Linked DNA regions of Canis lupus familiaris. The protein of the gene in region 1 purifies or fractionates together with the protein of each later gene. This does not show direct contact. Links are inferred from orthologs where the notes say so. Each region holds a gene or a part of one and is shown in the gene's direction. Other genes may lie near its edges. The genes, in order: CBX5, ZNF462, EHMT2, MECP2, CHAMP1, MBD1 and CHD4.

Evidence for each region.
Region 2: the proteins of CBX5 (region 1) and ZNF462 purify together in Homo sapiens (affinity purification with mass spectrometry; 3 studies listed by BioGRID and IntAct, counting the BioPlex papers as one, with this or other methods). This does not show direct contact. The link is inferred for Canis lupus familiaris from reciprocal best matches to the Homo sapiens genes CBX5 and ZNF462.
Region 3: the proteins of CBX5 (region 1) and EHMT2 purify together in Homo sapiens (affinity purification with mass spectrometry; 3 studies listed by BioGRID and IntAct, with this or other methods). This does not show direct contact. The link is inferred for Canis lupus familiaris from reciprocal best matches to the Homo sapiens genes CBX5 and EHMT2.
Region 4: the proteins of CBX5 (region 1) and MECP2 purify together in Homo sapiens (affinity purification with western blotting; 3 studies listed by BioGRID, with this or other methods). This does not show direct contact. The link is inferred for Canis lupus familiaris from reciprocal best matches to the Homo sapiens genes CBX5 and MECP2.
Region 5: the proteins of CBX5 (region 1) and CHAMP1 purify together in Homo sapiens (affinity purification with mass spectrometry; 6 studies listed by BioGRID and IntAct, with this or other methods). This does not show direct contact. The link is inferred for Canis lupus familiaris from reciprocal best matches to the Homo sapiens genes CBX5 and CHAMP1.
Region 6: the proteins of CBX5 (region 1) and MBD1 purify together in Homo sapiens (affinity purification with western blotting; 3 studies listed by BioGRID and IntAct, with this or other methods). This does not show direct contact. The link is inferred for Canis lupus familiaris from reciprocal best matches to the Homo sapiens genes CBX5 and MBD1.
Region 7: the proteins of CBX5 (region 1) and CHD4 purify together in Homo sapiens (affinity purification with mass spectrometry; 5 studies listed by BioGRID and IntAct, with this or other methods). This does not show direct contact. The link is inferred for Canis lupus familiaris from reciprocal best matches to the Homo sapiens genes CBX5 and CHD4.

Annotation. Positions count from the first base shown.
Region 1 is NC_049248.1:45,635,944-45,639,986, reverse strand, and holds the start of CBX5 (chromobox protein homolog 5), read left to right. Parts: upstream 1-1,243; 5' UTR 1,244-1,403; intron 1,404-4,043. Other genes in the region: HNRNPA1 (heterogeneous nuclear ribonucleoprotein A1), read right to left, coding at 1-22, 574-588. UniProt on the Homo sapiens protein: Component of heterochromatin that recognizes and binds histone H3 tails methylated at 'Lys-9' (H3K9me), leading to epigenetic repression. In contrast, it is excluded from chromatin when 'Tyr-41' of histone H3 is phosphorylated (H3Y41ph).
Region 2 is NC_049232.1:62,836,923-62,840,422, forward strand, and holds part of ZNF462 (zinc finger protein 462), read left to right. Parts: coding exon 1-490; intron 491-1,274; coding exon 1,275-1,439; intron 1,440-3,209; coding exon 3,210-3,313; intron 3,314-3,500. UniProt on the Homo sapiens protein: Zinc finger nuclear factor involved in transcription by regulating chromatin structure and organization. Involved in the pluripotency and differentiation of embryonic stem cells by regulating SOX2, POU5F1/OCT4, and NANOG.
Region 3 is NC_049233.1:1,484,577-1,488,597, reverse strand, and holds the start of EHMT2 (histone-lysine N-methyltransferase EHMT2), read left to right. Parts: upstream 1-1,221; 5' UTR 1,222-1,236; coding exon 1,237-1,516; intron 1,517-1,611; coding exon 1,612-1,830; intron 1,831-1,929; coding exon 1,930-2,180; intron 2,181-3,095; coding exon 3,096-3,180; intron 3,181-3,277; coding exon 3,278-3,318; intron 3,319-3,438; coding exon 3,439-3,594; intron 3,595-4,021. UniProt on the Homo sapiens protein: Histone methyltransferase that specifically mono- and dimethylates 'Lys-9' of histone H3 (H3K9me1 and H3K9me2, respectively) in euchromatin.
Region 4 is NC_049260.1:123,060,762-123,064,880, reverse strand, and holds the start of MECP2 (methyl-CpG-binding protein 2), read left to right. Parts: upstream 1-1,319; 5' UTR 1,320-1,572; coding exon 1,573-1,670; intron 1,671-3,259; coding exon 3,260-4,119. UniProt on the Homo sapiens protein: Chromosomal protein that binds to methylated DNA. It can bind specifically to a single methyl-CpG pair. It is not influenced by sequences flanking the methyl-CpGs.
Region 5 is NC_049243.1:61,535,275-61,539,229, reverse strand, and holds the start of CHAMP1 (chromosome alignment-maintaining phosphoprotein 1), read left to right. Parts: upstream 1-1,155; 5' UTR 1,156-1,277; intron 1,278-3,955. UniProt on the Homo sapiens protein: Required for proper alignment of chromosomes at metaphase and their accurate segregation during mitosis. Involved in the maintenance of spindle microtubules attachment to the kinetochore during sister chromatid biorientation.
Region 6 is NC_049228.1:78,697,774-78,701,273, forward strand, and holds part of MBD1 (methyl-CpG-binding domain protein 1), read left to right. Parts: intron 1-516; coding exon 517-684; intron 685-1,024; coding exon 1,025-1,324; intron 1,325-1,417; coding exon 1,418-1,555; intron 1,556-1,908; coding exon 1,909-2,043; intron 2,044-2,129; coding exon 2,130-2,191; intron 2,192-3,340; coding exon of another isoform or gene 3,341-3,380; exon of another isoform or gene 3,381-3,412; intron 3,413-3,500. UniProt on the Homo sapiens protein: Transcriptional repressor that binds CpG islands in promoters where the DNA is methylated at position 5 of cytosine within CpG dinucleotides. Binding is abolished by the presence of 7-mG that is produced by DNA damage by methylmethanesulfonate (MMS).
Region 7 is NC_049248.1:7,681,547-7,685,507, reverse strand, and holds the start of CHD4 (chromodomain-helicase-DNA-binding protein 4), read left to right. Parts: upstream 1-1,161; 5' UTR 1,162-1,319; intron 1,320-1,898; exon of another isoform or gene 1,899-2,069; intron 2,070-2,185; 5' UTR 2,186-2,263; coding exon 2,264-2,363; intron 2,364-2,639; exon of another isoform or gene 2,640-2,771; intron 2,772-3,065; exon of another isoform or gene 3,066-3,149; intron 3,150-3,961. UniProt on the Homo sapiens protein: ATP-dependent chromatin-remodeling factor that binds and distorts nucleosomal DNA. Acts as a component of the histone deacetylase NuRD complex which participates in the remodeling of chromatin.

The DNA of each region.
Region 1 (4,043 bases):
GCTGCTCGGGCTCTTTGGGAGACTAGGAGCGGGGACACAGCTCGTTACGTGGCGCGCCCAACGCCCAGCCCCGTCCCGTTGGGAGGAAAATCCTAGACAGCAGCGTTACAAGGCACGTATTGTTCCCTCGGGTTACGGGAGGCCACGTGCTTCTCCCCTCGGGGGGGACCGAGCGGTGGGGGCTGGGAGGCCGCGGGCGCATGCGCCCCGACTCTCCCTCCGACGCACGCGCAACAAAAGGACTCGGCTGGACGGACGCCGAAGCGGCGGGGAACTACGGCTGCTCCGCAAGAAACTCGCTCCCGGAGACACGATCAAACAAAACCCGTCGAATGCGCCCGCGAGTTCTGCCGGGAGGGCGCAGCCCGGCGCCACAGCCAAGCGCTGCAGGACGGCGGCCTCATGGCGACGACGAGGACAAAATGGCGACCTCAACTTCGGGAGGGGAAGGCCCTGGCGGCCCCCGAAGGGCTGCCGAACGGGCTGGCGCGAGCGGCCACGCCAGGCCGCGTCCTACCGGCCCCAGGGAAGGAGTGAGGAAGGAAACTAGGCGGGAGACAGCGTGTTACTCACCTCTGACTTAGACATGACGGCGGTGGGAGGGGAGACTTTAACGATGCTTACTCGGCGGCGTCCAGGGGCAGAAAGGAGTAATCTAACGAACGTATCTGCCAGCCTACCTTCGGCCTCGCTTTTTTATCCCGCCTCCTCGCTTTAGGCATTGGTAGACTCCGCCCCTGAGCGTCTCTGATTGGATGTTTGCGATAGCCTCCCCCTGCTATTGGTCTATAGCCCCGCACTGCTGCGCAACGTCATCCGCTTGGGCGTTCTACGCAGGCTCCGCCCCTTCAGGTCTATTGGTTCCCGGGTAATATTATTCCTAATTACTGTGATTGGCTCGTCAACCAGTCATTCATATTTGAACGAACCTAAGGTATTTAAATGAATTTTCAATCCATTCCGCCCCGAAATTATGTTCCGCTCAGTTGGCGAAGCACGGTAAATGCTAATATATTACGAACGAGGTTATCAGGTGATTTTTTTTTCTTTTTTTTTTTTTTTGCAAACGACCGCCCGCCGGGCGCATGTGTAGTAAAATGGCGAGTTTACGCAGGCGCACTAACCAGTTCCGCTCGGCGCTTGGAGCACGTGAAATGGCGGGCGGGAGACGGCGGCGACTCTACGGCGCCTGCGTCGTGGCGGGAGTCGCGCCCCGCTCTGCGCAGGCGTAATGGGCGGAGAAAGGGTCCGGTCGCAGGATTGGCCGCGCAGGCGCAGGGAAGGATCCGTTTTGGCGGGCGGTTGGCGTTGCGCAGAAGGCGGCGGCGGCGGCGTCCCGTGGTCCGGCCTCGCCACAGAGGAACAGGGGAGGCGTTGGCGCGAGTGGCCGGTCTCGATTCCGGGTAAGCGGCGGATCGTCTCGCCTACTCATACGAGGTGTTGAACTGACTCCAATTGGGCCCGTTATTGTGTGAAATGAATGGAGCGCGGGGTGGGGGCTCGTAAAGGGGGAGCGCTGGGTTCAGCCAACCAATGGACGGCGGGGGCGGGATGTCTGCCGGCCGGGAGTGCCGTGGGGCTCCGCGGCCCGGAGTCTGACTGGCTTGCGCGCGGGCCAATCGGGTCCGCCTTTGCCGCCGACGGACGGGCCCTCGGGCCCTCGGGACGTGGGGGCGGGCCCTGCGCCCTGAGCAGCGTCCCGCCGAGCCAATGGGCGCCGAGCGCGCCGTAGGTTGGGCTCCTCGGAGGCGGCGGGCGGACTCCGAGGGGGAGGCCCCGCTGTGGAGCCGGCGGCGGGCGGCCTGCGGACGGCGCCCGGGCGGGTCGCCCAGTCAGCGGTGCGGAAGCGGGAGGCCTCGCTGCGGGCTGTGGAGGAGCGGGCGGGAGGGCGCGGGGGCGCGGGGGCGCGCGTTCTCTCCACAGTGGCCGCCGGCGCCCGGCGCTCGGGCCTTCACCCCACACGCGTTTCCGGTAGGGAGACCCTGACTCTGTGGCGTGTCGCTTCGGCTTCGGCATAACCGCTCCACGCGCTCGCGCACGCGCACGCGCACACGCACCCCGGGGCTTCTGGTCGCCCCGCGCGTGGAGGCTCCCAGGGGAGCTCGGCCGGTCGTCGGGAACCCGCTTGGCCGGCAGCGTCCGCGCGCATCGGAACAAGAGCCGCTGCCGTCGCGGACAGGCGCCGACCCACGTGTGCGCGGAACGCCGCGGCCTTCCCCGGACCGGTGGCGGATGCTCGTGAGCCCGCAGGAGAAGTGTGGGAAGGGCCGCCTCCCGCCGTGCGTCCGTGTCCAGGGCCCGGGTGGGATCCGGGCAGGTGGCGTCCCTCCCGCTCAAGTCCTTTCAGGGATCGCAGTTTGTGACTCGGTGAAGATGGGAAAGGCAGCCCTCGTGTTTCCAGGCACGATCCCCTGCTCCTCCCCTCCCCCTGTGTCATCCCTACACCACGAGAGAGTGCTGTCCTCCCCCCCCCCCCCCCGCCCCCCCGCGCGCCGGCGGAACTAACACGGTGATGCTCAGAATAAAAACACAATTTTAAAAACTTGACTTTCTTTTGTGTACTTAGTACCTGCCAGGGAGACGCTGTGCTAAGTAAGTAAACCCTTTACACGCATCATCTGTGTTTCCACGCCTTTACCTCAGTCTTTTTTTTTTTTTTTTTTACCTCAGTCTCTTCTGTGAACTTTTGTATCTTTCTTTACACCATTAAAAGGTTTCTTTCCTTTTTTTTTTTTTTTCTTTTTTAAAGATTTTATTTATTCTTGAAACACACAGAGGCAGAGACACAGGCAGAGGGAGAAGCAGACCTCCCACAGGGATCCGGATGCGGGACTGGATCCCAGGACCCCGGGGTCCCGCCCTGAGCCCAAGGCAGACGCTCCACCACTGAGCCACCCAGGCGTCCCATCCATTAAAAAGTTTCCGAGACTCTTTCTGCTATTCCTCTAAGGATGTCTGAATTTTGACAAATTGCTTAACATGGATGATATTTAGGGTGTTAGGGGTAGGAGGACTCCTCCATCACCTGGATTATTCCATTGCCTTCATTGTATTTTCTTCAAAGTGTTTATTTTACAGGCACTGTAATCACCTGTTGGTAACACCCATTCAGCTGATTTGAAGATGTTTTAGTAAAAATAAAGACGTTTTCGTTACATAATGGTTATATCAGAATCTAAATTGCCCTCTTGATCAATGGCATAAGGTTATTAGAAAGATGTTTAGATGCTGTAATACGTTTAACTGTGTATGAAGGACACTTCTGATTATAGACCTTTGTGACATTATACAAAGGAAAGTTAATTTTAGTTGTCCATATAATGAAGACTGGAGAGATTTGTGTTTTCTGACACTTGCAAGAGGACAACTTGATTTCGTATTTCCTTATAAACTGTAGGTGTGCTAATCAGCTGCTTCTGCTGAGTTTATAAGAACTAAAGGGATCTAAATTACAGTTCTCCCTAATTTATTTAGGTTCAAAAGAAATAGTCTTGACTTACGGGATTTCTTACAGCACTATTGACATTTTAAGCTAATAAATGCATTTCACCTCCTCCCTCACACCCATTTGTGACTATCAAAATGTCACCACACATTGCCAGATGTCCTGGGGATGTCAGTGGTAGTGATGGTGGCGGTGGTGGTGCAAAATCTTCCTCGGTTGAAAACTGTTGATTTAGGGGTGCCTGGCAGGCTGGGTCTGAGGAATGTGACTCTTGGTCTCAGGGTGGTGACTTCAAGCTCCACGTTGGGAGTGCAGCTAAAGAATTCACTATTAATAAAAAAATTTAAAAAGCAACGTTGATTTAAGTTGACATGCTGGAGGTACCTGGCTGGCTCAGCAGAGGAGCATGCAACTCTTGATGCTCTCGAGTCATGTTTGAGCCCTACATTGGGTGAAGAGATTACTTAAATTTACAAAAATAAATAAAATGACAGATGCTAGAGTTGATAATCTTGTCAAAGTATTTTATTTTAATAATTGGAAATTAGTGGGAGAAGGTGAATGAAGTGTTTAGGAAGTAGCCTTTGATAAATGGATC
Region 2 (3,500 bases), on another chromosome or scaffold:
GAAGCGCCACCCGGGGGTGTTCCCCAAGAAGCAGCACGCCAGCAAGCTGGGAGGCTACTTCACGGCCGTCTACGCCGACGAGCACGAGAAGCCGGTGCTGATGGAAGAGGAAGACCGAGGCAGCTTCGAGAAAGCCGAGGTGGAGGGAAGCGAAGCGCAGGAGATGGAGTGGCTCCCGTTCCGCTGCATCAAGTGCTTCAAGCTGTCCTTCAGCACGGCGGAGCTGCTGTGCATGCATTACACTGACCACCACAGCCGGGACCTGAAGAGGGACTTCGTCATTCTGGCCAGCGGCCCCCGCTTGCAGAACCCCGCCTACCAGTGCAAGCACTGTGATAGCAAACTGCAAAGCACAGCGGAGCTGACCTCACACTTGAACATTCACAATGAGGAATTCCAGAAGCGTGCCAAACGTCAGGAGAGGAGGAAACAGCTTTTGAGCAAGCAGAAATATGCAGATGGTGCTTTTGCAGATTTCAAACAAGAGAGGGTAAGGATATGTTTTGATTTCCCTTCCCCCAGGAGGCCTCTCATCACTGGTGCCCACATGCACTTCTTCGTTGCCAGCCAAACTGCTACAGGCTTCCTAGCGACTTAGCTTGCCAGAGAGCTCAATAAGTCAATTAAACATTTCGAGCTTGATTATCCCCCGTCCTATGCTCGCCCTTCTCCACGGCCCCGCTCCCCTTGCCTCCCGCTCCCGCCCCCCCACCCCAGGCCCCCCCGGGGGGGGGGGAGGGCTCGGGTGGTTTCTCTGTATTTCCTTCTGCCGAGTAGCCTTATGTGAGGCCTAGGTGCACGACAACGCTCGCTCTCTTTCTAAGGCAGCCGGGGGCCGTCTCTGGGTATCACTGGCACCTCTCAGCCGTGTTGTGGTCTGCGGTGTCCGCCACACGAACCTCACATCTCCGGGAGTAGATCCTTTTTTTTGGTCAAGAAGTTCACTAATGGCGTAGCTAACGCAACGTTTCACCTGCGTAGTTGAAATTGGCTTGAAAAACCACATAACCTGGTGGCCGTGACGATGAGGCTTCTCCACAGAAATCTTCTCTACTCACAAGTTGTAACATATTTGGGTTCCAGAGACTTTGCATAGTAGGCAGCGTGCCACGGCTCTGACGAATTCGTTATGTAAAAATACTCACATATTTCTCCCTTTGGTTTTTAACCCGCTAATCCGCTTTGAAATAAAATCTGCTAGTAAGCTGCAAGAATAAATGCCGGCATGTGAGGGGGGGCTCGGAGTACTGACGGCTACCACTGTATTTCACCAGCCTTTTGGTCACTTAGAAGAGGTGCCAAAGATCAAGGAGAGGAAGGTGGTGGGCTACAAGTGTAAATTCTGTGTGGAAGTGCACCCGACGCTCCGAGCCATCTGCAATCACCTCCGAAAGCACGTCCAGTACGGCAGCGTCCCCGCCGTGTCCGCCGCCGTGAAGGTGAGAGCGGGGGGAGGCCTGGAGGAGCGTTGTTGTGTGTGAGCGGTTCCAGTTACCTATTAACCCCCCGTTGCTCAGAGCAGCTCAGGAAAGGGCGTCCCAGAATGTGGGCACTCCTGAGCTGCGCTTGGATCGGTCTGGCTTGTTGTGATTCTTTTGCAGGTTGGACCTTCTTCATCTTTCGTGTCTCGACCCGGTCGCGTTTCGATCTGGTTGCCTTCCACGCGGATAGTTTGGTGGAAACGGAGGATCCGGGCCTCTCTCGGGGCAGGAGGCTTTGGGTCGCCCTTCTGTGCTGCGTTTAGTGCCGTTAGGTGTTTGCTCTTCCGAGTTGCCCGAGCTCTTGATTGGAATCAAGTGGGTCCTGTTCCCCATCATCTTCTGCTCCTCCCACTGCCTGACTCCTTACTGTTCTCATCTGGCTCACAGGGTAGAGAGCCCCGGAGAATCTTTCCACTTCTTATTCTGGGTCCTCTGAGGAGCGTAGGAAACGTGAGATCTAAAGCTGAAAGCCTTCACGCCACAGTAGGCCCGAGAGCCCCTTGACCTGGTTGGCCTCCTTCATGCCCTTTCCCCGTATGTGGCTGACCAGTGCTTTCCCTCCTTCCCGTGCCTCTGATGAGGCCCCCTGCTCCGAACATGGTGATCCGAAGAGTGGCCACTGTTGGGAACCGAGCCACCATCCCTGCCTTCCAGGATACGGCTAAGCACTCCTCTTTGAGCAGAGACGCTGGTTAGTTCAGGGCCCCGCTCCTTCTCCCTAGATATGTGATTATATTTTTTGTCATCTGCCCGTTTCCCTCCGGTGTCCTGTGTTGCCCATGGAGCACGGACGTAAAGTCTCTGCTTTTCCTGGCACATAAAGACTGAAGGCCTCCGGCTCTCAGCAGAGCAGTGGCCCCCCGGGGGCAGCGGCAGTCAGCCTCTTCCACGGCACCTCGGTGTGTCCCAGGCTTGTTTCCTGGAATTGCTCGAGGGAGACAGAACAGCTCTTCATGTGTAATCAGTAACCCAAGGAGTCACCTCCAAACACGAGTGTCTTGAAACCAGGCTGCTCCTTAAGTTTTTCAGTCGATCGTCCGGCAGCCTTCGGTCAATGGACCGAGTCACCACAGGCAGGGTGGGGAGGAGCACGGGCGGCAAGGTCCTTCCCTTCCCTTCTTTTCCCAGGGATGGCCCATGGCTCCTAGATGCCCACACTACTCTGCTTTTTCCTCCCCTCCTCCTCCTTTTCTTTCTTTTCTCTGAGCCGTCACCCTAACCCTGCTTTGTGTCAGTTTGAATCTTCTCTTTAAGATGGGAGATGAGTGAGTGAACTGTCTTCACGGTGGGAGAGCCCCTGTCTCGTGTTTCCCAGGCAGTAGCGACCTGTGCCCGGAGACGTTGCTCTAAAATCACCAGCACTGCATGAAGGATGGCAGGCGGGCTTGCCCTTCCTCTAGGGGGAGCTGGAGAGGCAGGGGAGAAAACTTTACCAGGAAATGCTGATGAGTTTGGGAGAATGAAGGGAGAGGAGGAGAGCTGGAGACGATGATGATGGATATTTATTTTGTTGGTGGGGCATGTGTGTGTGTGTGGTTCTCTTAGCAGGAGGCTGAAGACCCTTCCCATTTGTTCCTGGATGGACTGGAAGCAGCCAAAGATGCCAGTGGCACCCTGGTGGACCGGGTGGATGGTGAACACTGCTTGCTTGATGGAATGTTGGAGGATGAAACCCGGCCGGGGGGATACCATTGTAGTCAATGTGACAGAGTCCTGATGTCCATGCAGGGGCTGCGTTCTCATGAGAGGAGCCATCTGGCCCTGGCCATGTTTACCCGCGAGGACAAGTACAGCTGCCAGTATTGCTCCTTTGTTTCTGCTTTCAGGCACAAGTAAGTGCTGTCTCGTGATCATGGGGGGTGATGGGGAGGAGATGTCATAGTGGAAGGTGGCTGAGCTAGAAGGGGAGGTTTGGAGGGGTCTGTGAGCCCCGCTCAGGGTTTGCACCTGCCGTGCAATTGCTTCTGTCACCTTGAGCCTCGGTCATCTCGTCTGTGAAGTGGGGCTAAGAGCCCAAGA
Region 3 (4,021 bases), on another chromosome or scaffold:
CCAAACTTTGACCAGAATATAATACCCAAAGGGATGGTACCCTAAATAATGCTATCAAGGTTTTTATCTCGGTGTAATATCATTCATACTTCCTCTGTCAACTGGGCTTATGACCCACGGAATGCCTAGGCTTGCGACCAAAAAAAGGCTCCTTAGTATAGTGTACTCAGCAGGCGGTGATGACTGTGGAGCCTCTGGGGGTTACTCAGGTCCCCGGTGCACTTGGTGCCTTAGCATACCCGGCTCAAACAGAAGGGACCCTGAGCCCCGGGTTCAGGAGAGGACGCTGCTCCTGCCGGTACGAAGCAGTCGAGAGCACCGGTGTCCTCCATGCGTTCCCGCTGCCCCCTTCCTGCTCGGGGGAGAAGCGAGGCCGACACTTGCTACCCGGAGACCCAGAAACTAGAGCGCACCGAGGCGGGAGAAGCAGACGCGGGCCTCCTCGGGAAGATAGCCGCCGCGAGCCGGGACGCTCAGACGCCGCTCTCGTTACCTACGGACAGGCGGGGCACGGAGGGGCCACCCCGGCCAGGCGTGCCTCGCCTTCGGCTCCCCGCGCAGCCGACGCCCGCAGCGGCGGGAACGCGCCCCCGAAGCCCCCAGCTTAGGGCAGCCGCTGCCACCGCCGAGGCCGCTCCCGGCGTGGGGGGAGATGGCCAGAAAGCGCGCCGTGGCTCCTTTAAGGCCCCTCCTCGCCCCCCCTCCCCGCCCACGTGACCCGGGGCGGCCGCGCGCCGGCTCGGCCCCCCGCGCAAGCGGCGATGGCGGCGGCGGCGGGAGCTGCAGCGGCGGCGGCCGCCGAGGTGCGGAAGGGGAGGGGGAGAGGCGGGTGCATGCCCGCGCGCGCGCCCGGGGGAAGCGCGCGCCCGTGCAATGCTCCGGGGGTGCAACGGGGCCGGGGGGCCCGGACGAGACCTACAGCAATCCGGAGGGCCAGCACCGGGGGCGGATGAGGGGACCAGGGGGTGGGAGGTGGGGGGAGTGGGCACGGAGGCGCGCGTGCAGCCGCCGGCTGCCCCCGAGTGGGCAGCGGGAGCCGGGGCCCCAGGAGCGCGCGCGAGGGGCACGAGGGGCCGTCCGCCGGGCTGGGGAGCGGCGGGCGCTGGAGGGGTTGGTGCCCGGGGTCCCCGCGGCCTGGGGGACAAAGGGGGAGCGGCGCGTGCAGCCGGGAGGAGGGGGCGGGGCCGGGGCGCAGAGGCCCCGCCCCCTCCCCCTCCTCTTTTCCAGGCCCCAGAGATGCGGGGTCTGCCGAGAGGGAGGGGGCTGATGCGGGCCCGGGGGAGGGGTCGTGCGGCCCCCCAGGGCAGCCGAGGCCGCGGACGGGGGGGCCCCCATCGAGGAAGAGGTAGGCCCCGGAGCCTACTCTCTCTTCCCAGAGCCCAGGCGTCCTGGGCTCCCCAACTTCCTAGCGGGCTGACCAGCCCTCCTATACCTTGTGTCCCCTGCCAGGGGGAGGCCCCTGCTGAGATGGGGGCGCTGGTGCTGGAGAAGGAGCCCAGAGGAGCCTCTGAGAGAGGTGAGTGCGGCTGAACAGGCCCAGCTGGACCTTCACCTCCCCCAACACAGGATTCCCCGAGACCTTAGCCCTGAACTTTTTCTTTCCCCTTACAGTTCACGGCTCTTTGGGGGACACCCCTCGTGGTGAGGAGACCCTGCCCAAGTCCAGCCCTGACTCCCTGGAGCCTGCTGGCCCCTCATCCCCAGCCTCTGTCACAGTCACCGTGGGTGATGAGGGGGCTGACACCCCCCTAGGAGCCACACCGCTCATTGGGGATGAACCTGAGAATCTGGAGGGAGATGGGGACCTCCACGGGAGCCGAATCCTGCTGGGTGAGAGGCTGGGGAGTCAGGGGCCTGGGGGGCAGAGGGGGGGTATCCTCTGATTACCTCTCGTCTTACCTTGTTTCTGTCTGCCTATTTGTCTTCCAGGCCATGCCACAAAGTCATTCCCCTCTTCCCCCAGCAAGGGGGGTGCCTGTCCCAGCCGCGCCAAGATGTCAATGACAGGCGCAGCAAAATCACCCCCCTCAGTCCAGAGTTTGGCTATGCGGCTGCTGAGTATGCCGGGAGCCCAGGGGGCAGCAGCGGGGCCTGAACCCCCTGCAGCCACACCCAGCCCAGAGGGGCAGCCCAAGGTCCACCGAGCCAGAAAAACCATGTCCAAACCAGGAAATGGGCAGGTGAGAATGAGGGGGAGGGGTGGAGGTGGGGAGACCCAGGTAACCCACTGTGTACCCCTTGTGGACTTTTTTTTTTTTTTTTTTTTTTTTTTTTTACAGTTTAGCTTCAGACTTTTTCTCATCCCTTCAGGGCTCGCCATACTTACCTAGGGGCTACTGTGTGTCAGATTCTGGGCTGGGCTTGATCTGAACAGACAGACAAGTTTATATTCTTGGGGAGAGGGGAGTTGTAAAAAAGGTTAGAGGGGCACTTGGGTGGTTCAGTGGTTTAAGCATCTGGCTCGGGTCATGATCCTGGATCTAGTCCCACATCAGGGAGCCTGCTTCTCTGCCTCTGTTGCTGCCTCTTTTTGTCTCTCAGGAATAAATAAGTAAAATCTTTAAAAATAAAAAAAGGTTAGAGGATTACTGTTGTAGTTAATTGTCCCAATTATTCTTATGATAATGACTAAGGAACTTCTAACTTGCTTTCTACCTCAAAGCAAGCCCCAAGGGAGCTTTTTCCCTCCCTTTGAAACTCCCCCTGCTTCCTTTTTCAAAGGGCTTCTAAGGATTTTACTGTGACTCCCTACAGGGAAGGAGGGTGAGGGAAAGGACAAAAAGCCCCAGAATTTCAGAAGCTTTGTGACAGTGTTTTTGGGGGTTTGGGTATGGTTTAGGTAGCTTTGGGCAAGGCACAAACCTATTTTCTCATCTGTAAAATGGGTAAAGAGGGCCCGCTCCTTCGGGTGAGTGAAAAGGTGAGTGTTAGGTGTGGAATGTGCCTCATACCCTTCTTCTCGAGAGACAGCACTTCTTGTGATTGCCACATTCTGGCTTACTGGAGCTTCAGGTGACATTTTTGAGGGTGTGGCTCACCCTTGACTGAATGCAAATGCTCCCTGACCCTAAAGTGTGCTCCCTCTCTGCCACTAGCCTCCTGTCCCAGAGAAGCGGCCCCCTGAAGTGCAGCATTTCCGCATGAGTGATGACTTGCACTCGCTGGGGAAGATGACCTCAGGTCAGCGCCACCCCCACACCCCACCCACCTGCCACCTGATAAATCTTGTCCGGAGGGTCGAAGAACCAGCCTTATTCCTTTCTCTCTCTCCTTCCAGATGTGGCCAAAAGGAGGAAGCTGAACTCTGGAGGTGGCCTGGTGAGCCTAGAGAGGCTGAAGACAAGGCCTCTCCACCTGGGGGGGGCTGCATCCTGCCCTCAAGGGAAATGGTTGGGAAGGGAAGTACCAGCAGCTTCCATTTTTCTGATCTTTTCCTAGTCGGAGGAGTTGGGTTCTGCACGGGGTTCAGGAGAAGTGACCATGGAGAAAGGGGACCCAGGGTCCCTGGAGGAGTGGGAGACAGTGGTGGGGGATGACTTCAGCCTCTACTACGACTCCTACTCTGTGGATGAGCGTGTGGACTCTGACAGCAAGGTGAGAAGGAGCCAGCCTACCTCTCTGCCAAGGCTCACTCTCCAGTCTTTCCCACCCACCCACCCCCTTTGTCTCTCTTTCCTTTTTACCTTGTGACACCCCCTAATTCACCTTCCCATCCTCTCTGTAACTTCCTCCCTTTGTGTGTTCCACCCCAGCCCGGCCCCTCGCCCCTCTCCATTGTGGTAACCACCATCCTGGACTTTGGGTTTAGCATCCCATTTTGGTTTTGGGTTTTTTTTTTGTTTTTAAGATTTAATTTATTTATTCGTGAGAGAGACACACAGAGAGGCAGAGACACAGGTAGAGGGAGAAGCAGGCTCCACGCAGGAGCCCAATGTGGACTCGATCCCAGATCTCCAGGATCATGCCCTGGGCCAAAGGTGGCGCTAAATCGCTGAGCTACCCCGGCTGCCCCCATTTTGTT
Region 4 (4,119 bases), on another chromosome or scaffold:
GTTTCCAGTACATACCACAGTGCCTCCATTGGAGTCTCCACAGTGTGAACAAGGGGGTTGCTTGGGGTAGACTGGCCATGAGGCAGTGACCAGTGCTGACACGAGCCACATGGGACAGGGCAGCTCTAGGGCTTAGATATCAAGGGCAGGAATAGTCTCATTCTCTTCTAGACTGAATTGCTGAGAGACCAGCAGATGGCTGGTTCCAAGCCTCCCCAGCGTGGGTGGTGTTCCTGCCCTCTTAGCCCTGCTTTAAGAACACCACGGGCGGACTGATTCCAGGGTCCAGGGCCTTTCCAGTGCACACAAGGAAGGGACCCTACCAGGTGGAGCCAAAATAGCAGGAAGGAGCTGCTCTGTCAGTGTGAAAGCATAAGGAGGTGCCCACCCTGGAGTGGGGAGGGTGCTCTTCTGTGCCTTTGTCCTTGCTCTCCCCTTCTACTGGTTGAGTGTAAGGCAGTCATGGCTTGTAAAGGAATGTCTGATAATAAAAGTTTAGCAGACCTGGGGTGCCTTCTCCTCACTCCAGAACCCTGGGCAGCAGTTTCTGGTTGCCCGAGTTGGCTAGTGTTTATATGGTGCTTTTGTGACTTTTCTTCCTCTGGGGTGTTGGTGCCTATTACCAAGATGAGGAAACTAAGGCACGGAATGTTGAGGTCACTTGCTCAGGTCCATGTTTAGAAGTTGCCAAGTCAGAATTTGAGCTCAGGTTGGGCTGGCTCCAAACCTGTGTGTTTTCTCCACAGCACTGTGCTGTGCCTTATCTCCCAAGGGGGTAGTGCTAGGCTCTGCCACCATCAGTAAGTTGCATCGTGCTCCCTGACTGTTTTATCAAGCACACATTTGAGAAAACTTACAATACAGAAGCTATACTAACACCCAAGCCAGGTCTTTCGTGAAGAGGAGCCCTGGCCACATTTTGGGTGGGCAGCTCCCTCTCCAGTAGTCAAGGGCCTCTTGTCAGCCATGAAGTCTAGAGACTGTTGGGCACAGCTTGTAAAGTGGCCTCTTCCGAGGCAGTACACTGAGAAGCCACCTAGTGTTTCTACCCAGAAAAATGCCGCTCATTCTCCTGCTTGTTAGGAGTGGGACTTGGGACAGAAGGACTCAGAGTGGTCACAGTGCAGGTAGGGTAAAGCCCAAAGCCCCCAAAGAAATCTTTGAAGGAGAAAGGCATCAGGATCTGGGTGAGCATCGGTGGGGCAGCCCTGTCTCTCAGAGCCCTGCCTGTGCTGGGGTGCCCCAAACCCGCCATTGCTTACTTTTTCTACAAATCGGTGTGTTCCCTGTGATACTTACATACTTATTTAACACTTCAGGGAAGAAAAGTCAGAAGACCAGGATCTCCAGGGCCTCAAGGACAAACCCCTGAAATTTAAAAAGGTGAAGAAAGAGAAGAAAGAAGACAAAGAGGGCAAGCATGAGCCCCTGCAGCCACCGGCTCACCACTCTGCTGAACCAGCAGAGGCAGGCAAAGCGGAGACCTCAGAAGGGTCAGGCTCAGCCCCAGCTGTCCCGGAAGCTTCTGCCTCCCCCAAACAGCGACGCTCTATCATTCGTGACCGGGGACCCATGTATGACGACCCCACTCTGCCTGAAGGTTGGACCCGAAAGCTTAAACAAAGGAAATCTGGCCGCTCCGCTGGGAAGTATGATGTGTATTTGATCAAGTAAGTAAGGGCAACTCCTGTCTCTACAAAGCAGGGAAGGCTGGGTGGGCAGGAGGCTGGGGCCAGGTGCTGAGAAACTAATGGGGATCCCTTAGAGTGGCAGCTCTTTTTTTACTCGATGATCAGGAAAATGTGTGTATATCACCCATCTTGGGCTGGGGGTGGCTTCAATAATGAACACCACTTGCAGACCCCTCCAGGTATGTTTCAAATGACTGTGTACAGAGTTCACCGCCCTGAGTGTGACTTTACCCCACCAGCCCTTGAGGTCTTGTCTGGAGATGGCATCGCAGTAGGGCCTACCCAGGGCCACAGTGAGGACACAAGAAAGAGAGGTCGCCTGAGAAACATTGAGGACACAAGGCCCTGCCCAGGCTGGTCCCAGAGGCCACAGGACCTGCCATGTGTAGTGGCCTGTGCTTGGAAGGCAAGCAGGGCTCTCTGGGTTCCTCTCATTTCCCAGCTGGGAAACATCCAGCTGATGGGCTCTTCTCAGAACCTGTTAAACAACTCTTCTTTCTGTCAGTCATTCCGTGACTTGGCTGCATGACCCAGAAGAAGTAGGAGTTCAGAGGGCTCAGTCTACTCTCTGAATCATGTTGGGAAAGGTGAGCTCTCTGACAGGGCCTCTGGGGACACATTGGTGTCTCTTCATGTGCCTTTCCAACTGTCATTGGTGCATTTGTCCAGCTTTGAGCTGGTCATTGGGCATTTTCTATTGAAACAGTGTAATTCAGGGATCCCTGGGTGGCGCAGCGGTTTGGCGCCTGCCTTTGGCAGAGGGCGCGATCTTGGAGACCCGGGATCGAATCCCACGTTGGGCTCTCAGTGCATGGAGCCTGCTTCTCCCTCTGCCTATGTCTCTGCCTCTCTCTCTCTCTCTGTGTGACTATCATAAATAAATAAAAATTTAAAAAAAAAAAAAAAAAAAAAAAAAAAAAAGAAACAGTGTAATTCCCAAGCCAGAGCTTCAGAGAAGGACTGAATAAATACATTTCAGTTCTGGCCCTTAGATGATCCAGAAAAGATAAACAGTTTATTTGCAGACATCCTCATTTGATCGCAACAACTCTGAGAAGGGTGAACAAAAAGCATTATCCTACTGACAGATGAGGAAACCGATCCCAGAGAGGCTAAGCAGCATGCCCAGGTTCAGACAGAGAGGAGTGCTTTACTTACTGACTGGGCCCAGGCACCAACCAGCAGAATGCCTGCCCCTCAGCCTTCTGGCTCAAGCGGGTCTCCAGGCCAGGCCCCTTTGGGAGCCAGAGGAGGGGCCTTGGTGGTAGGCGGATCCTCAGGGGCAATAGCTGCAGAGCAGCTGACACCCAGCTGTTCTTGTCACTGGAGCACACCCTGTGGGTGCTCTCCGCCGCCCAGCAACCCAGTTGCTTTGTGTGTGACCATGCCCCTCTAATTTCAGCCCATTTTGGCTTTTCTCTAATGTGACTCTCATTGAATAGTATCATCAGGCAGGTCAATTGCAGAACGTCCTGTCACAGAATTCAGCACATTCTTCCTGCCCCATCTTTGTACATTAGCGGGGAAGCTTCTAATCGTTCTTTGTGTCTCTCCATTTGTTCCCACAGTCCCCAGGGAAAAGCCTTTCGCTCTAAAGTGGAGTTGATTGCGTACTTCGAAAAGGTAGGCGACACCTCCCTGGACCCTAATGATTTTGACTTCACGGTAACTGGGAGAGGGAGCCCCTCCCGGCGAGAGCAGAAACCACCTAAGAAGCCCAAATCTCCCAAAGCTCCAGGAACTGGCAGAGGTCGGGGACGCCCCAAAGGGAGCGGCACTGCGAGACCCAAGGCAGCAACATCAGAGGGTGTGCAGGTGAAAAGGGTCCTGGAGAAAAGTCCCGGGAAGCTGCTCGTCAAGATGCCTTTTCAAGCTTCGCCCGGGAGCAAGGCTGAAGGGGGCGGGGCCACCACGTCAGCCCAGGTCATGGTTATCAAACGCCCAGGCCGGAAGCGAAAAGCCGAGGCTGACCCCCAGGCCATTCCCAAGAAGCGGGGCCGAAAGCCAGGCAGTGTGGTGGCAGCTGCCGCCGCAGAGGCCAAAAAGAAAGCCGTGAAGGAGTCTTCCATCCGGTCCGTGCAGGAGACTGTGCTCCCCATCAAGAAGCGCAAGACTCGGGAGACGGTCAGCATTGAGGTGAAGGAGGTGGTGAAGCCCCTGCTGGTGTCCACCCTCGGCGAGAAGAGTGGAAAGGGACTGAAGACCTGCAAGAGCCCCGGACGGAAAAGCAAGGAGAGCAGCCCGAAGGGGCGCAGCAGCAGCGCCTCCTCACCCCCCAAGAAGGAGCACCACCACCATCACCACCACTCAGAGCCCCCGAAGGCACCCGCGCCGCTGCTTCCGCCCCCGCCCCCTCCCCCACCTGAGCCCCAGAGCTCCGAGGACCCCGCCAGCCCCCCTGAGCCCCAGGACTTGAGCAGCGGCGTCT
Region 5 (3,955 bases), on another chromosome or scaffold:
TAGCACAGGTCTCTTCTAGTTTTAAAGTCCTATGAATCTAAGATCAAGTCTCTAGTCTTCATGATGGGATGTTTAGAGGTAACGAACGGATACTTTATGAGCATATACCATGTGCCAAGAATGTGCAAGGGTTACAGGGGTGAACAGGCCCTCTGAGAGCCAGACTCTTGTAGTGCAAGAGAGTAATGCCTACATGGAAGGTGTGCACACAAAGAGAGTTGGGGAGGGTGTTGGCCATTGTTTTTTAGGAAGTAATTCTTCCTAAAGGATGGAGAAACTTGCCCGATGGCCGAGTGTGTAAACTTACCATGCCAGGGAGTATAAAGTAGAGGAAATGCCTGTGTGAAAGTCCAGAGGCTAGGTTTGTATTTAAAGGAATGAAGTCCAGTCAGGGGACAGACAGATTGTGAAGGGCTATATATACCGTGGTTTTGTCTTCTGTAGGTGTTGGGGGATATTTTGAGGAACTGTGAGCAGGCCAATGGCATTAGGTTGTATTTGGAAGATGACTGGAAACAGTATGGCGATTGGATGGCGAGGAAGTAAGGCTAGAGAGGCACAGACAGCACAGCTATCCACATTACAGCTTGACCATGGGTAGAGTGGTGTGCTGTGCACTATCCCCTGGCTTGTTCATGGCCAGTTTTGTTCTTGCTATTCAAGTCAACAGCTTACCCGGACCCTGACACATTCTCTGAAATCCATGTTTGAAGAGGCTGTGCAGTCACTGGAGCACCACTGTCCTTCCTTATCCTCTGATGCCTCTTCCTTCTTTGCCCCTTGGTCCTGTGGACAATCTTGTCCCTTCCTCACTACCTGTTACTTTACTGCTCTGCAGTGTAGTGTGGATAATGGACAAAACATCAGCTGCTCCTGTATCCTGTGGTCTCGGCAGCTGAAGTGAGACGATGAATTTGCTGTGGTTATAGACAAGGGTTCAGGATTCGGTCCTGGATTTTAAAATGGAATAAGATGTGGGTGGTGTCATTGGTAGTATCCATGGTTATCTTTGGTATTATTTCATTAAAGCAAGTGGATTGACCCCAGTCACTGTTGGCAGGGAGCAGGTCAGCAAGAGAAATAGGCAGAGTTCTTTTGCATAGATTATCACAGAAATGTAGTTTTGATTACAGTTCCTTTATTCTTTTTTTCCAGGTCCATCTTATCATCTTTGTTCTTCATGTACTACAAACTATTTTCTATAATTAACTCAGAAGCCATGTAGACTTGCTTGCCCTTTGAAGACATACTTTCAAGGCTTCTAGGAAGATAAACTGGTAAGTCTACCAGAGAAAGTATTGTTGGTCTTTATTTCTTCCCTGCTCTAAAGGGAATTGGCCTGGATTTATAGTGTTATTTTACCAGCTTTACTTTGCATATTGTTTTTGTTTGCTTTATAACAATTAGGAGAGTATGTTTAAGATGTGAACATTTTTGAGAAGTGCTTACACCTAAGGAAAATCTACAAAAGCACATATGTGCATACATAATGATGCATGAAGATGTGACAGGTATGCATATATATGACAGAGTTTGGGGTTTGAGAAGTGAATTTTAAACAATTCTTTAAAAAATTTTTTTGAGTAAGGGGTTACTAGGGTCTGATAATGAGGCTGGGAAATAGACACTTTGAGACTGGCCAGAAGAGTTGATGGTAAGAAGAGGAAGAAATAGAGAGGGGCAGGTGAGGGAGATGGGAAACACCCAAGTCTAGGGAGCCATCGGAATTAACACAGATTGAGAGGGAGCAGGATCGGTGAGGAACTGATTGGCACTCCATGGAGGGTGAGAGAGCTGATGATTTAACATGCAGCAGTTAAGGACAAAAGGAATCCAAGCTGAGGTGGCTGGGGGCCACTTGGAGGCAAAAGCAGCAGGAATTAGGGCAAGTGGTATTCATCAAAGATAAACTAATTGGGGATCCCTGGGTGGCTCAGCGGTTTAGCGCCTGCCTTTGACCAGGTCGGGCTCCAGGCATAGAGCCTGCTTCTCCCTCCTCCTGTGTCTCTGCCTCTCTCTCTCTCTCTCTCTATCTCTCTCTCTTTGTGTGTGTGTGTGTCTATCATTCATAAATAAATACATCTTTAAAAAAAAAAAAAGATAAACTAATTTACAGAAGCAGCAATAAAATGTAGGGTTAGTGTAAAATTTCCAGAGAGGCAAGAAACAGAGATACAGCCAATGGAAAGTAGAAGTAAGCAGAAATAGTGGTAGAGTTTTGCCTATAGAAAGCAACCACAAGGGGAATCCCTGGGTGGCTCAGCGGTTTAGTGCCTGCCTTTGGCCCAGGATGTGATCCTGGAGTCCTGGGATCAAGTCCCACATCAGGCTCCTTGCATGGAGCCTGCTTCTTCCTCTGCCTGTGTCTCTGCCTCTCACTCTCTCTCTCTCTCTCTCTCTGTGTCTCTCATGAATAAATAAATAAAATCTTTTTAAAAAAAAAAAAAAGAAAGGAAAGGAACCACAATTCTTTCATAGGAATGGGAACAGGGGGTGTGGTTCTCCAGTTGTTGCACTAATGTTAGAGATGTCAATTTATGAGATGTGGTTTTATTTTCTTTTTCATTTGGTAAGTTTGCCAGAAACATTTTTTTCCCTTAGATTTATTTATTAGCAAGAGAGTGAGAGCATGAGTGGGGGGAGGGCAGAGGGAGAAGTAGACTCCCCACTGAGCAGGAAGCCGGTATAGGGCTCCATCCCAGGACACTGGGATAACAACCTGAGCCAAAGGTGGGCTCGGGCTCCTAACCAACTGAGCCACCCAGGCATGCCATGGAAGCATTTTTTAAAAACTTTTCTGATGACAGAATAGTGTGCTCAGTAATTTCTGTAGGAAGAGAACAAAATGCTTTACTCTTAAAGTTCATAATCTGATTCCTGTATTATACACTTATTGGGCTTATTGATAACCTCTATTTTATGAACTAGTATTGGTAAAAAGTTGATGAGTTAACATACAGGAAATGAAAGTTGTTTTGTTGATAGGACTGTAAATTAGGCAAAGACAATAGAGAGGTACTGAGTAAGATACTTTCTCCCACTCTACACTAGTTTCTTGAGAAGATGGGAAAAGTTTCATAGTTAACAGTTTAAGTTTAAGAAACGCAAGTTGTGAAAGTACAAAGTCTATCTTCCTGTCATAAATAGGACTTGAGTATATTTCAGATGAGATACTGCGTGCTGGTCAGCCATAACTTTAGCAAGGTCATTGGGCAATATTTACTTACCAGAAACTGAACTGTTGGTTAGAGGATGCCCTTGTAGTTTCTAGTATAATAATCATAGCTGACACCGACAGTTCACCATGAGATACTGTTCTAAATATGCTACAAAATATTAACATCCGTCCAGGAACCTGAAACGTAAGTTCAGCAACCTAACAAAAGCCATATACTGGAACCAGGACTCACTCAAACCCAACAAGCCTGAGGTCTTAACCTCTGTGTCATATATATGCAACTTAGGGTTTATTATACTATAATGATGGTTTTTAATATGTAATGTCCCCCTTATGAACATCCCTTGACTGTTGATTGTGGCCGTTTAGGCCAGATGCGGTTATTGAGAAATCGCTGCCTTTTCTTATAACATTCTTATACTTTTATGAGACACTGGGTTTTAGGTGGATCGTTAACCTGCACATTCTTTCTACATGTTATCTTCATTATGTTTGCAAGTTTCAGAGATTTTTTTTATTCAGTATTCAGTGATTATATTCTTTTTTTAGTCAGCCCATAGAGCCCTAAAAACAATTTTCTGAAAGCCAGGATAGTTGCAGCTCCTGAAGCTCCTGAAGGAGCTAATACTTTCTGAAAAGCACTCGTTTGTTTCCTCAACTGTCTTGTCACCTTTTTATATTTAAACTGCTACCCCCAAATGCAAATAATAAACCGGTAATATAGGTGATAGAAAACAGTGTTGTAGGCAATAACATCTTCAAGACAAGTTCTCAAAA
Region 6 (3,500 bases), on another chromosome or scaffold:
GGGCACTTGGTTAAGCCCAAAGAAGCAGCTGCTGCAATGGGCCTAATAGGGGAACAGCAAGGCACAGTAACGGGTACTAGTATGGGGTGAGCAGACAGTGGGGGAGGGACTAACATGGGATCGACAGGTGCAGCAACAGTACTTAGTGGTCAGATAAATCAACTCTGGTGGGGCTGATAGCATAGTGAATGGATTTCACATAGGCTGAGCAAGTACAGCAGGCACAATGGAAGCAGCTACAGAGGGTCAGCAAAATTCTGCTGGAAATGGGGGTCAGAGACATTGTCTTAATAGCCACTGGTCTAGCAGATGACGTGACAGATACGGTGTTGGAGCAGCCACCATCCTGACAGTACTGGGCACTATCCAGTATAGTGATAGTGCCTGGTGTTGGACTCACAGATGCTGAGGTGTGACTAAGACCAACGCACAGCCTGTTTCCTCCGATGGGGCTAGTGAAGGAGCAACAGGAACAGCACTGTCAGTAATAGCACCCTCCTTTTGCCTGTCCCCCAGCAGCCTTACACGAACCGCCGGCAGAACCGCAAGTGTGGGGCCTGTGCCGCCTGCCTACGCCGGATGGACTGTGGTCACTGCGACTTCTGCTGTGACAAGCCCAAATTTGGGGGCAACAACCAGAAGCGCCAGAAGTGTCGTTGGCGCCAATGCCTACAGTTTGCCATGGTGGGTGGGGCAGGATAGGTTGGTGGGTGGGCCAAGTTGATCCAGGGCCTCCAGTGCCTGGGAGTGGTGGGTAGGTCCGGCAGCTGAGTGGGGCAGTCCAGTTGGGTTCTGTGTCTTCAGAGGAGTAGGCGGGGCAATAGGTTCAGCCAAAGATTGGCAAATGAAGGATCTGGGTGTCAGTGGCATTGCTAACAGGAGACCAGCAGGCTCGATGATGAGGGCCTCATGGGTAAGCAGATTCTGTGCCAGCACTAATGAGCACCTGCAGGCACATTTGTCAGGACAGGGTGGTATAGTTGGTCATCGCACCAGGTGGCCATAACATCCTGTCTTTCTTCAGAAGCGGCTGCTGCCTAGCGTCTGGGCAGGATCTGAGGATGGGGCAGGGCCACCACCATCTTACTCTCGTCGAAAGAGACCTGGTTCTACTCGACGGCCTCGTCTGGGCCAGATACTGAAGACCTCCTTGACTACACCCACAGCCCTATCAGGCTGTGCCCAGACTCCAGTGAAACAGGAAACGGACAGTGGCTTTGTGCTCCCCCCACCTGGCACCGACCTTGTGTTCTTACGGGAAGGTGCAGGCAGTCCTGTGCAGGTGCCTGGCCCTGCTGCAACTTCCACAGAAGCCCTGTTGCAGGTGAGGGTCTCATCTTATCCTGCCCTTCCCAGCCCTACCCAGCCTTGTGCCAGAAAGCTGGGACCAAGTCTGCTGCAATCCTCCTTCACACAGGAGGCCCAGTGCCCTGGCCTGAGTTGGGTTGTGGCCTTACCCCAGGTGAAGCAAGAGAAGGCGGATGCCCAGGAAGACTGGACACCGGGCACAGCCATCCTGACTTCTCCTGTATTGCTGTCTGGCTGCCCCAGCAAGGTGGGGGTCAGTGATGGGTGGTCTGTGAGCCGAGTGATGGTGAGCCGTGATGCTGGTTCTTGGAGCAGAGCAGTAGATGTGCTGATTGCAGCCTCACCATAAAATTACCCCACCTGTCTGACAGATGTCCCACCCTCCCCAGGCAACTAACTTTGCCTGCTTTGCTGTCCAGCTAACAGAAAAATGGAATTCTCTGAGGAATGGGAAAGGTTTATAGGCTGAGAGATGGATTTTCTGGTCTGAAGTGTGACAGAGTGGGATTTGTCAGTACACTGACAGGTTGGCTGATGAGAGACTCTTTCCTTAGGCCCACCCTGCCCTTCTGATTCCTGCCTGTTTCCCACCTCCCCCAGGCAGTAGACCCAGGCCTGCCACCTGTGAAGCAAGAGCCACTGGACCCTGAGGAGGACAAGGAGGAAGAGAACAAGGATGATTCCGCCTCCGACTCGGCCCCAGAGGAGGAGGCAGGAGGGGCTGGCACACCCGTGGTCAGTGCTGGGGGACACTTCACCCTGCCCTGACCCTGCTTTAGCCTCATTGGCCATGATGACCCATGATGTTAATTCTTTCCCAGATCACGGAGATTTTCAGCCTGGGTGGAACCCGCCTCCGGGACACAGCAGTCTGGTTGCCAAGGTGTGCCCCGCACAATGAGGGGTGGTATGTGGTTGGTGCTGGTCACACATGGGCCCTGAGTTTTAAAAGTAGAATCAGTAATTTGGTGTGATGCTCATATCACTGTGATGATCATGAGCAGTGAGGGGTTGTGTGCAGAACCCTAGAGATTTTTCCTGAGGTTCATGTCAGGGCTTTCCTTGGGTATGTGGGGAGGTAGGGGTGGGGGTGGCAGGGGAACAGGGGTCAGTGGAGGGTGAGGACTTGATGCCCTGCGATGAGATTTGAAAGAAAGAGATAAAAGCCTGGTCCACAGCTTCCTAAGAAAATCCAGAAGGGGTCAGTTTTAATATGTAAATTTTTATTCAGAAAATCATCATTTGGGGTCTTGAAGGTCTCTGGAGTCTCCAAGAGATGACAGATGGGCTGGACAGTGGTGGATAGGCAGTAGATCTGGGTCCTGTGGCTGCCTCTGATCTGGGTCCACATGCAACTGTGAAATCTCAGGCTAGTCCTCCACCTTCTAGAACAGCCTTTGTGGACAGGATTGGGCTATGTTTTGTGAGCCTTTCCTGAGCCTACTGAGGTTATTAACAGTTTTAGGTGCTGCATAGAACTGTCGCTGCAGACCTGGCAATAGGATGAAGGATAGCTGCCCCTAAGGGCAGGGCTGGTGGGAGGAGGACAGGGGAATGCTACTTCTTGCAGATTGATCACAGGCTGTGCACATAGGCTGAGACACAGGCAACATAAGCTGTTGGCCTAGGCACTTGGATTCCTTTGTTCCCACAAACTAGTCATGCAGGCCAGAAACTCCATCTGCCTTGGGCAGTACCAGAGGTATTAATGGAGTACCTGCTAGGTACACTGCAGTGTGAGAGATACAGTGGTGAATACAGTGACCCTTCAGGAGACATGGATCCCTGCTTTCAGGGAGCTTATTATCTAAGGAAATAATTTCCCTATGTGTGAAATTGTTACACGTTAATGGAGAAGATAACGATGTCTTAGGTTGTTTATAGTGTAATATTTTGGAAGCGAGAAGATAGATGAAGGATAATTATGGGGAAATCAGTGGTGGGCACAGAATACTAGGAAATGGTTTTGTGATGCTCCATTTTGCAAAGAGCAAACTTCATTCAACATATGGACCTGCTCCCTCTTCTCTAGGTCCAAGGACCTTAAAAAACCTGGAGCTAGAAAGCAGTAGACTGGAGGCTTCTGCAGACTTTAGGATTCAAGGTGGTATTTATAGACTGGCTTTATGAGAGAACACTGATCTACTCAGGCTGGACTGTAGACCAAGGGGTCTTATGTAGGATTCAATAGG
Region 7 (3,961 bases), about 38 Mb from region 1:
TTATGCCAGGATACTGCTTTGGCCCAGAAAGGGATAAAGGTATGTACAAGTTGGGGTGGGCACAGGGCAGTGCGGGTAGCAGCCTGCTTCACAACCTTGTGGCTCTGGGTGTTAGAATAGACCTGATGGCCTGAGGAGGTGGGGGAGGTATGAATGTGAATATTATGGGATGCCTGGCTGGAAAGGTATAGGGGTGGTGGCTGGCGATGAAGCATTATGGGATGTGCTGGGAGTATTAGAGTATGTCTGGTGGACCTCGGGCTCCTTGACATTATTATGGGATATCAAGGTGTGGGTGGGAGAGTAAAATTATGGGATATCTTTCCAGCGTTAGAGGAAAGGAGATTGGATGTCCATCTGTAGGGTGACAGTGGGGCTGCCGATCATTAGAGGATATCTCTTTGACAGAGAAGAGGTTACTATGGGCTGTGGAGTTAGAACGCATGTATGAAGGCTGAGGGTGGTGGTGTGAGGATCTAGACCCTAGTCTGCAGGGGCTGAGGGCAGCTCAGGCTAGGGGGTTGGTTATTATGGGATGTCAGTGTAAAAGTGGGAAACTGATTATTACGGGATGTGTGTGGGAGGAGGCCGAAGTGTCCGTTGTAGTACTGGGGGGGGGGGGGCGTTGTTTCTGACTATTATGGGATATCAAACTGGGGGTGGATGAAGAGTGGTTATTATGGGATGTCTGTGGGGGATGGGGAATGAGTATTATGGGCTGTGAGGCTTAAGTGCTGGGAGGGGTGCTTATTATGGGATGGCCATGGGGAAGGAGAGGTGACGAATTATTATGGGATGTTAGCATTAGGGCCAAGAGTGAAGAAGTTGGCAAAGGATGGCTATTATGGGATGTCTGAGGTGGGGAAAGGGTTAGTTGCAAAGGTCTGCAATATTATGATATGTCAACAACCTTAGCATATAGGTGTATGGAGTGTATGTGTGTGTGGGGTGGTGGTGGTGGGGTGTCCGTGTGTATTATGGGATGGCCGGAGGTGGGTGGTTGCCCGGGTGACACGCGCGCGCGCGCTCGAAGGGGGCGTGGCCAATGGTTGCCGGAGCGACGAGGGGGCGGGGGTTGCCCGGGAGACCTAAGGAGGAGGGTGGCGGTAGTGGAGGGGGGGTTGGAGTTGGTTGAGGTTATTATGGGCTGTCCGTGGGGGGGCGGGGCCTGTGCGGTGGGATTTCCCGGCCGGTGTTTCGGGCCCTTTAAGAGGCGACGCCGGAGCCGGAGCCATTTTCCCCCCTTCGGCCGCGGCGAGGAGGAGCCGGAGCGGGAGTGACACCGGGCCGGACCCAGCGCGACCTGCGGCGGCTCCGGGGTGAGGAGAGCGCGGGGTTCCTAAAGAGACGCCCCTCTGAGCCTGACCAGCCCCCAAGCTCATCCCTCCATCCACCCCTTCCTCAGATGTCCCGGACTCGCGGACCGCCCCCTGCCCAGAGGAGCCGACCCTTCCTTTTCCTTGCCTGCAGGGCGCCCTGCCCCCCCCGCCCCCGCCCTGAGCCGGCCCGAGTCCTGCCCCCCGCGGCTCCCACCTCGGGCTGGGTCTCCCACAATGCCCGGCGCCCGCCCCCTCGCCCTTTGCTCACTTGCCCCCCGGGACACGTGGCCCGGCCCCCTGCCCGGTGGGCGCTCCCTCGCCCCCCGCGTCCCAGCCTCCAGCCCCCTGGAGCGCCCGAGCCTCCACGCCCCCTCGGCCCCGTGGCTCCTCCGGAGAACCTGAGTTGTCCCAGAGGACAGCCTTTGGAGAGCTGCCCTGTCTGGGGACTGGCCCCTCCCCAGGCGCAGGGAGGCGCCCCCCCACCCCCAAGTGACCTTGTGTCCCCGAGCGCCTCGCTGCCTGCCGCCTCCCCCGACCCCCCCGCGCCGCGGCCACTCGGACCCCCCTCCCCCGACATACCCTGCTCGGTCCAGCCTGGTTTCTCCCCCTCCCCACGCCTGCACCAGCCTGCCCTCGGGGGCGTCGCTCCCGCTCATCTGGGGGGCTCCAGTTGGGGAGCCGGCTTCCGGGCTGCCCTCGAGGAGTGTGGAACTAAGTTCAGCCTGAGTGGTTCGGGTGCCCTGCTAGGGTGGCTGGGGTTGGGGGGGCCGCTTTGGTGGTGGGCGGAAAGAGCGGGTGGGTGTGGGGGAGGGGGACAGTGCGCGTCACTGACTGTTCTCTCTTTCTTCCCCCCCTCCCCCGCACAGTGACTCGGGCCAGTGTAGAGGGCCCCAGGCCGCAGGCAGGAGCAGCTGGGCCAATTCCCTGGCCGGGAGCGGAAGGGGATGGCGTCGGGCCTGGGCTCCCCGTCCCCCTGCTCCGCGGGCAGCGAGGAGGAAGATATGGATGCACTTTTGAACAACAGCCTGCCCCCACCCCACCCAGGTAAATCTTCCCCAAGGGCCCTGGGCAGGAAGGAGGCATTTGGGCCCTCCCTAGCGACTCTGGTGAGGCAAGGTTGAGTTTCTCTCTCTCCGTGCAGAGTCTGAGGTGGAGGGCATCCGAAGGGAGTGGTTCCCTTCTGCGGAGCTCTTGTGGGAGGGGGTGGAAGCCATGTGCCTCCTGGGCTCTGGGACCGAGATGCAAGCTTGCTGCACTGTCTGTTTTAAGGAATGCTATGCAGTTCCCAGTTGAGGGAGCCCTCTGGTCTGGAGACCTTACCTTGTGTGGGTCCACGGAGGAATGCAGGTGGCTGGGACCCGTTGGAGGCGGGGTGGGGGTTCGGGTGGGTGTCGAGGATTGCATGTTGAAGACCAGCCCGGCATCTGTGTTAGCAGGATCCTGTGGTTGCTGCTGTGGAAAGGAGAGAGGGAGTGCTGGTTACTCTCTATCTGATTATTTTTAGCTTCTGATCAGTTACCGGTTTTCTGTGATGTCTCAACTGTGAAGTTTGAATTGCGCTCCTCAGCTGGGATGTAGAGAGCTTTTAGCAGGCAGATTGCTGGAATGTTTCAAATGGGGAAATGATGGGGGCTTGGGGTAGGATGTCACACCCTGAAGGATATACTAGGGAGGGGCAAAAGAAGGGAGGTGACACCCTGGGCAACCCCCCCCCCCCTTCCCATAGCAAATGGACATGATACAGACTTTTTTCCTAGAGGCTTCTGCTTTGGTGCAGGGAGCCTAGGGTTTGGGCTGGTGTCATGAAGTGTTTGTGTAGGTGTGTTGGGGGTTGTTCTGTGTTTGTGGGTGGCTCCTGGGACTGGCCAAACCCGTATGGTTGTAATCATCCTGCCTGATTGGAGAAGCTCTTGTCTCTTCTCAAATGGTGATTGATGTCATGCATCTGAGTGGATGTCTCTCTCTTGTCTGTCTTTCCTTTTTCACAGCCCGTAGCTAAGTCACCTACTTGTTTCCTTGACCTTTTTTTCAAGCTTCTTTTTTTTTTTTTAAATGTCATTTCTTTATCCTTCTGCTTATCTTTATTTTCGCTTTAATTCTGGAGCCTGCTGGTCGTGTTTTTGTTTCCCATCAAACATCTTTCACTTCTGCCTTCTCTCTCCTTAGCTGTAGCAGTAAGTTGAGGTCTGGGAAAGATGTTCCTACATTTTGGTGTTTTCTAAGTTGGAAGTCTTCAAGTCTTAGTTTGAAACTGAGGCCACTTAGTAAAGGGGTCAGTCTTGTTGCTGAGTCTTCAGCTGTTGGGATGAGAAACTTAGGCTCGAGTCTCATCACTGTGTAGACCAAGGTGGCAAATTTCTGTACTGTTGCCCAAGGTGGGGGTGGGGTAGCAGCATTGGTAACATGATCTGACTCTCTCTGTGAGGGGCGAGAGAAGTAGTAGTGCTGTCCAGCCAATGTTGGTTCCACATTTTGGCTTCCCATTGGCCCCTTGGGCTGGGGCTGCCCCTGTGTTGATTGGGAGCAGTGCAGGCTCCCAGGGTGAACTCTGCCCCAAGCTGTAGCATGACCCAGTTTTTCCACTTGCCACACCCCATTCCTGCCCCTTTCCCAAATCTTCTTTTATGTCTCAGCCACTTTGA